Neurospora crassa OR74A: one gene and its partner. The protein of the gene in region 1 interacts with the protein of each later gene in a biochemical or structural test. Links are inferred from orthologs where the notes say so. Each region holds a gene or a part of one and is shown on either strand. Other genes may lie near its edges.

The links.
Region 2: the proteins of cul-1 (region 1) and NCU01188 form a complex in vitro, tested with the Saccharomyces cerevisiae proteins (4 studies listed by BioGRID). The link is inferred for Neurospora crassa OR74A from reciprocal best matches to the Saccharomyces cerevisiae genes CDC53 and CDC34.

The regions. Positions count from the first base shown.
Region 1 is NC_026504.1:5,761,855-5,766,124, reverse strand, and holds the start of cul-1 (Cullin 1), read left to right. Parts: upstream 1-1,434; 5' UTR 1,435-2,066; coding exon 2,067-2,137; intron 2,138-2,207; coding exon 2,208-2,277; intron 2,278-2,337; coding exon 2,338-2,354; intron 2,355-2,418; coding exon 2,419-2,510; intron 2,511-2,574; coding exon 2,575-4,270. Other genes in the region: NCU05203 (hypothetical protein), read left to right, coding at 1-453. UniProt on the Saccharomyces cerevisiae protein: Core component of multiple cullin-RING-based SCF (SKP1-CUL1-F-box) E3 ubiquitin-protein ligase complexes which mediate the ubiquitination and subsequent proteasomal degradation of target proteins.
Region 2 is NC_026505.1:3,174,890-3,178,794, forward strand, and holds NCU01188 (ubiquitin conjugating enzyme), read left to right. Parts: upstream 1-1,402; 5' UTR 1,403-1,901; coding exon 1,902-1,994; intron 1,995-2,130; coding exon 2,131-2,754; 3' UTR 2,755-3,361; downstream 3,362-3,905. Other genes in the region: cpc-3 protein, read left to right, coding at 1-4. UniProt on the Saccharomyces cerevisiae protein: Catalyzes the covalent attachment of ubiquitin to other proteins. Capable, in vitro, to ubiquitinate histone H2A. Mediates the initiation of DNA replication (transition of G1 to S phase in cell cycle).

The DNA of each region.
Region 1 (4,270 bases):
CGATTACGAGCCCTGCATTCAGCCTCCAATTCCGAAGGATACGTCGACCAAGAGCTTTCCCTGATAAGACAGATCTCGCCCGGGTCGTCAGAGCGGACTCAAGCGATAGTGGCGATTGCGGTGGACACGATAGCGATTCCCTATATCGGGTACATGCTCTGGGACGAATACACGGGCCGCCCATTGGGACTAAGGCCGGTGACGCAAAAGAGCGGGTTGGTGCTGATGGATGTGTTTTTCATCGTGTTCAAGGCGGCCAGCACGGCGTTGGCATATGAGGTGTTGGTTTATCATAACAGTCAAGATCGCTTCACGGACCATTTCAGCCAGGCGCTGGCCGCGTTTCAGCTGCTTGGGCTTTTTTTCTGGTTGACCAACTTTACGGTCAATGTGTTTAGGCTGGTAGTAAAGCTGGGAGGCGGAGATGATTTGGAGACTCAGAGGGGAAGGTAATGACGGTTATAATGGGCGGTCAAGCCCCGAAGGATATTGAGAGGGAAAGAAAAACAAAGCGGGGGAGATGAATCACGTCGAACGTCTCCAACCACCCGCATGGGAGCATACTTACTTGCATTTTCTCGTACTTTGTCGATACCTCAGCACGGTTCTGCCTCTGTGTTCTTTTGGGTGGGGTTTTTGGATTAGCAAATTAGCATACAGCGGTAACAAATAGTGTTTGATCAGTTGGTAATGTTGGTGATGTTGATATTAGCAAGGATGGTGATGATTATTACTCGATTGTATATGCATTATGAGACATGAAAAGGGGAACGGATAGCGAAAGATTTGACATGGTAAGGAGATATCATATTGCCTGCCGTGAGCTCCCAGCAGAAAAATACATGCAGTTTAATCGAATTCTGGCCACCAATGGTGTCCTTCTACAACATTAGCGGTTAAAGGGGCTGTAAACGGCTGACCTACCTCTACCTACAAGTAGCTACATCGTTGTCACTGTTCTGCTTTCTTGTATGTAAAATGCCCCGCCAGCTGTACATATGTGCCATCCCCATATTTTATTACTTCAGTTCCGGTTATTGTATTCATATTGAGAAGAAACATGGTATTATATCAATATAAGGTACATACCTTCATCAGATCTGTTAGCCGCCATTGTTAGATGTACCGGTAATGACGGAATGTACACTAGATGGTCGCCCGTCCCGCATCGCAGGGCATAGGTCGTCTCCATCCCCGCCACTTTCCCGTCCATGGTTGGTTCCCCACAATTTTGCGTGTTCGCGGTGGACGTTTACTGGCGGGGGGGCCACTGCTCTGGAGCCTCCATGCTGCTTGCTGTCAGTGTCAATCGATGCCTGCCACGCCGCTGCAGCCTGAAAACCGTCAACGAACGACGGCATCGCTCTATCATCCGGGCATCGACCACGGCAGCAGCAGCAGCAGCAGCAGCCTCGGGGGGCCAATCTGGAAACTGGAAACTCCACTCTTCAACTTGATTACCTACACTCAGAACAGAACATTGAAACCTGTCAGAACACCACCACAACAACAACAACAACAACAACAACAACCAGCCAAGGTACCTACCTCTACACCTCACCTCTAGGCTGCGACCTCACACCCGTCACTCCAAGGGAACAATCCTTTCTTCACCCGACCCGATATCCGATCAACCCGTCTGTCTGTCTGCTCACGGTCACGGTCCTTCTCCCAGCCGACACCGACGGACCTAAGGACGTGGTGACCCCCGCCATCCATCCGACCTTCCAGACCTGTGGCGCGCCTCATCGCTCAGGACGAGCTTCTACTTCTACGCCTCTGGCTGCCACCCAGTCCATTTACCCTTCGTCACCGGTCGCAGTCAACGCGCTTCCAACCTCAAGAACGACCGGTCGCCCAGATCAAACTCGTTCTTGCCCCCCCGACAGCCTCTGGACGAACACACGCGACCCAACACGACCTGGTCAGCTTGAGTTTTCTCACGGATTACGCCCCTCGTCCACCACCACTTGTCAGCCGGCATATTATTCCCAACATCGCATTCTTTCTTCGATTCCCGGCGCACGATCGCTCTTCAAACGAACATACACATAGACACAACAAACATGCCTCCGGCAACCATGATGATGGGGGCGTACGGGCAGCAGCCTTCTGGCAGTGATGGTATCGACAGCACGTATGTTTTCGCTCTCTTCGCTGCTGGCCCCTCTGCCTCCAAACAGCCGTACTGACCCTCTGCCAATCAGTTGGCCATACTTGCAGTCTAGTATCAACAAGATCATGACCAACCTCCAAGAAGGCCTCGACATGAGCAGTGTATGTTTCTTCCTCGCCCATCCGTCCACGTTACCCCCCGCTAACACACGCCGTTTGTAGTACATGGGAATCTACACGTTAGTTGGACGGATGCCCTATTTGTCTATACACTCCTTCAACATGGTACTAACTGCGGCATAGGGCGGTGCACAACTTCTGCACATCGCAGAAGGCCAACGGCGGTAGCAGCAGTCCGAGTAATCACCTTCCGGGAATCGGGGCCCAGAGAGGGGGTATGTTGTCTTTCCCTGCATTTGCCCGTTAAACAGATTGAGCAAGAGGACTAACATGCACCAGCCCATCTGCTTGGTGAGGACTTGTACAAGAAGCTGGCCAACTACCTGACAGACCACCTTAAGCACCTAGTCTCCGAAGCGGAGGCTCACAAGGACGAGGCCTTGTTAGCTTTTTACATTCGCGAATGGCAACGCTACACCAACGCCGCCAAGTATATCCACCATCTCTTCAAGTACCTGAATAGACACTGGGTTAAGCGCGAGATGGATGAAGGGAAAAAGAACATTTACGACGTCTACACGCTCCACCTTGTTCAGTGGCGTGACGTGTTGTTCCAGGCTGTCTCTAAGAAAGTCATGGACGCCGTTCTCAAGCTAGTGGAAAGGCAACGCCTCGGTGAAACCATCGAGTACACCCAGATCAAACAGGTGGTCGATAGCTTCGTCTCACTCGGTATGGACGAAGGCGACAACACCAAGACGACGCTGGAAGTGTATAGGTACCACTTTGAAAGGCCGTTCCTGGAGGCGACCAAAGTCTTCTACCAAAACGAAAGCAAACAGTTCGTGGCCGAGAATAGCGTTGTCGAGTACATGAAGAAGGCCGAGGCTCGCCTGGCTGAGGAGGAGGAGCGCGTACGCATGTATCTGCATCCAGATATTGCCCTACATCTGAAGAGGACTTGCAACCAGGCCCTCATCGCGGAGCACTCTACCCTGTTGCGTGAAGAATTCCAGGCCCTGCTGGACAACAACCGAGAGGACGACATGAGGCGGATGTACAGCCTCCTTTCTCGCATTCCCGACGGTCTGGAGCCTCTGCGGACTCGTTTCGAGGCCCATGTTCGCAAGGCTGGTTTGGCGGCTGTTGCCAAGGTGGCTGCAGACGCCGACAAGCTGGAGCCCAAGGTCTACGTCGACGCTCTGCTTGAGATCCACACTCAGTACCAGGGGTTAGTTGAGCGCGCTTTCAACAAGGAGCCTGACTTCACCAGATCTCTAGACAACGCGTGCAAGGAGTTTGTGAACCGGAACGAGGTCTGCAAATCGGGCTCCAACAAGTCACCGGAACTGCTGGCCAAGTACACGGACGTGCTTCTCCGCAAGAGCAGCACCGGAGTGGAGGAGGCGGAGCTCGAGAACACGCTGACGCAGATTATGACTGTGTTCAAGTACATCCAGGACAAGGACGTGTTTCAAAAGTTCTACTCACGCATGCTGGCGCGCCGCCTCGTACACAGCAACTCCAACTCGGACGATGCCGAGACCTCGATGATTTCCAAGCTCAAGGAGGCCTGCGGCTTCGAATACACCAACAAGTTGCAACGCATGTTCCAGGACATGCAGATCTCCAAGGATCTCAACACAGGCTTCAAGGAGCACGTCGCCTCCCTCAACATGGACGGCAAGCCGCTCGACTCGACGTACTCTATCCTCGGCACCGGTTTCTGGCCGCTCGTTCCGCCAAACACCAGCTTTGTTGCGCCCGCCGAGATCTCGGCCGACTGCGATCGGTTCACCCGCTTCTACAAGAACAAGCACGAAGGCCGCAAGCTCACTTGGCTGTGGCAGCTGTGCAAGGGCGACATCAAGGCGAATTATATGAAGGGCGCTAAGATGCCCTATATCTTTAGCGTGTCGGCGTACCAGATGGCCATCTTACTGCTTTTCAACGAGAAGGACCAGTACACGTTCGAGGAGCTTGCGAGCATCACTCAACTCAACGCGGACGTGCTTGAAGGCGCCCTAGGCATATT
Region 2 (3,905 bases), on another chromosome or scaffold:
TTGATCGGGTCGGCAGGGTATTGAAGCCCTGGGGAGGTGCCTAGCTGGGTAGGATACGTTGGCGATGGTGGGTTGGATGTGTGTATAATAGGTATACAGTTGTAAGGCTAGTAATCCCACCCGAAGGCATCACTGCTCTTTCAAATCGTCCGATGTTCCTCTTGCTTTTCGTCTATGGTGATCCCCTGAAACACCAACTCAACCTGAGTCAGCCTCCTATACAGAACCCTAACCCTTCTGTCACAAGTGAAACGCCCAACCATCTCACTACGGGAAGATCACCCTGCTGGCCAACAAGAAGTTCGTTCGCACACAAGAAGCCAGGAAGAAGACCGATTGCGGAGGAACTGACCATCAAGGTCCTTGCCTACTGTTACCCACCGGATCTTCTAACTGCCTGGCACGGACGTTTCCCATCCATGGTTTACGAGAAAATGGGAACCGCTGCCAGTATGCAAACGAATCGATCCATCTTCTTCCCTCATGTTGGGCAACACGTTACCTGTACCTACTCTTATTTACAGCAAAGTGTTGTGAATGACGGGTATATGATGCTTGGAAACAGATGCGAATGTGGATTCGATTTAAGGCATCGATCATTTGTTGTCTGGGCAGTCAACAGGACAACATGGAACTGCGTCACTTCTTTGTAGCTTCAGTGGACCGTGACGGGATCTAGTGTACTTGGGAAATTGTTAGTGCATCCTCTGAAACATCCGATAACTGCAATTCTGACCACCACCAATATGCCCTATCACCATGGGATGCTCATTTGTCAGTGGCAAAGGAACTGCACCGTCGTGTCGTCCCGTCTCCTTGCGGGTAGATTGTACATGATTGTCTGATGGGCCCCCCCTTTGCCAGAGAAAAAAAAAAAAAAAAAGGCCGTTCTGGGAGGTTCCGCCTGCTTTGTAAAGGTTGACGGGCAATTACAATACGATAATATGGAAGGGCGGGGATTACGGCCTCCCTCCTTTGACGATACTCCTGTCAGGTGTATTGGTCTTATGTAGAGGTAGGTACCTATGCCGAGAGCCCGAGACCGCCATTGTGCAGCGGTGTTGACCACCATTAACAAACGTAAGGCGAGACATGCAGTTGTTAGGATTCCTCAGTGCCTCGCTCAGCTCGGCTGCTGCACCACCATGGGAGAAGGAAGTTGGGCAATGACGGGACCATCACAAATGGTCTGGGTCGGTTGCTTCGTGTAGACTTAGGTTAAGTTGAGAGTGCGTGCTAGAGACTGCCCAACCTTCTATCCGGGTCCTCGCTCCGAGGAACCCAAGGGAAGCGTGACCCTGCCATGATTCCATCGCTCACATCGTAGTAGTGTAGTTCACACACCTTTTCCTGATCCGGTTGTGACGTTCGTACGCCCTTCCACTTTTCCTCCCGTCTGACCCTGCTTTCTCCTGACTCGCAACCTCTCTATTGTTCCAGATTGTCACCGCCCAGCCCTTGATTTCCAACCCACTTCCCAAAGACCACCATCGTGACAAACCGTGAACTTCTATCCCGACCGTCCGTGCTTCCATAGAGTCTGTTCCCATTGTTTGGTTATCGTTATCATTCCATCCCTCTTCAAAAGATCAATACCCACCCCGGCCTTCACCACCGACCGTCTAACAATCTTCCCCAAACACCCGCCCGCCTCTTGCCAACATCCCCTCAAACTACAAATACCACCATTTTCCTCTCGAGGCCCCCGATCTTGCGCACGAGAGGGATCTTCGTCAGCACTTTACGTGTCGATCCCTTGACGAGCCACCACAACATATCTACTTCACCACCACCGCCACCACCAACGAAGTAAAGTGGGCTTTTCCAGCGGCAGCCCATTCTTTCTTTTGTCAACCTCCGCCACCGGCACCTCGCCTTCACTTCCGTAACCACATTTTGCCATGTCGTACAGGACAACAGCGTCGGGCGCTACAACGCGCCTGATGAGTGAGATGAAGGCGCTACGAAAGGAGAAGTGGATTCACTTTGAAGATGTACGTCCTAGTACCGTTCGTTTTTTCTCCTTTGCCGGTCTGTCGTTCGCGGGCGCAGTACCGGCACGTCGATTCTAGTATCACTATACCTTCACTACGGAACCTAGACTGACCCTCACTTCTTTGGCGCAAACAGGACGATTCTGCGACCCTCAACATCCTCAAGTGGCGCTTCGGCCTCATGGTCATCAACCCCGACAGCGCCTTTAACGGGGGGTACTTCAGGGCCGAGATGGTATTTTCGGACGAATACCCCTACCAGCCGCCCAAGTTCCGCTTCCTGATCCCCATCACCCACCCCAATGTGTATCCGGACGGCCAGCTCTGCATCTCGATCCTGCACACACCCGGCGAGGACCTCATGTCTGGCGAGCAGGCTAGCGAGCGTTGGTCGCCGCTCCAGGGCGCCGAGAGTGTGCTGAGGTCGGTTCTGTTGCTGCTGGACGACCCTGAAATCAATAGCCCCGCCAACGTGGACGCGGGCGTCATGTACCGCGACCGCCGAGAGGATTACAACAAGAAGGCCCGGGAAACGGTGGAGAGATCAAAGAAGGATATCCCGCCAGGATTCGAGATGCCGGTCAGCTTTGAGGAAAAGCCGCCTCCGAAGGCCGAGAACGACGACGATTTTTGGGCCGAGTCGGATGAGGAGTTTGACTTTGGTGGTAGTGACACCGGGGATGACGACGAGATGGAGGACTTTGAGGACGGGGAGGAAGGGAGCGAGGATGACGACGACGATTCCAACTCCAAGCAATAGAAGGACTTGCTTGCTTACTTGCTTGTTGTTCCTTCAACAGCAGCAGCAACCGTTTTTATCGCCGTTGTCAAGCTGGGCTGGGTCTGGTTCGGGTCAGGATGGTGATGATATACCTTTCTCTTTCTTATTCTTGTTCTGCTTCAACCCGTCATATTTGCATAGCGTCGGGGACACTCGCGGTGTGTTTGGGCGTTTTCGTGGTCTCCCAAGCAGGCATATCTGGTGGGAATTTCATTGGTCGCTTTTTTTTTTTCTTTTTTTTTTTTACATACAGAGACACACCGTCACCCAAGTACTTGCCTATCCTCAGCCACAATGTTCTTGCACAGCGGAAGACATTGGCAAAGACGGGAAGCGGTCTGGCTTCATAGTAACATAGAATACATTTAGCGGAAACGTCTAGACTAGAGCTATAGACTCAACTTTCGTTTTCATGGAGCGATGAGCGGATGTAGCCCCGCGATGGCATCGCTGAGTTCAGAGAGCCGAATAGCCCGTCTGGAGCCCGTGCACGATGTCAGAGCCCAAGACCTCCGTCCCTTGACACATAACAGTGAAGAGGGGCCCGGGCCTTGGGGATGTCCCCTCAGCGACCGAGCAGTTGACCTCCGAAGCCCCTCCATCATCCCCTCATGAGATACCCATTTCTGTACAGCAAGTGAAATTTGTGAGCAGGCCGAAACCGATGAGAAACCGAAGGATACCTGCCCGACGCTCCAAGATCATCATGATGCATCTCTTCTTTGGCTTTTGTTGTCATCGTCCACGTTTACCCCGGCCCTCAGCCAAAACCTAACGGAGTGCCTCAATACCTTTCCCCCCATTCCCCGCAGTTTTTGCCATCAATCAAAAGCTGCCCCTGCCGCCTTGTTTGTGTACCTACTGTACATAGTACGTACAGGGCTCGGGTACCTCATCAAGCAGCTCTTGCATTTCATTGTCTGACAACGTAAAGGCAAACAACATCCCAATCTGGCTTCCCATCATCTCGTTCGCCCTGTCTTCGTCCAAACAGCAACAACAACAATAACAACAAAAAGTAAAAGCAGGGCTATCCTTCGCCCACTTCATCCTTTTCGCTCTTAAAGCCAGCAAAGTAGCTCGACAAACGCCAAGAAATAGTACATTCCAAACGTCTCCTGCCCCGGACC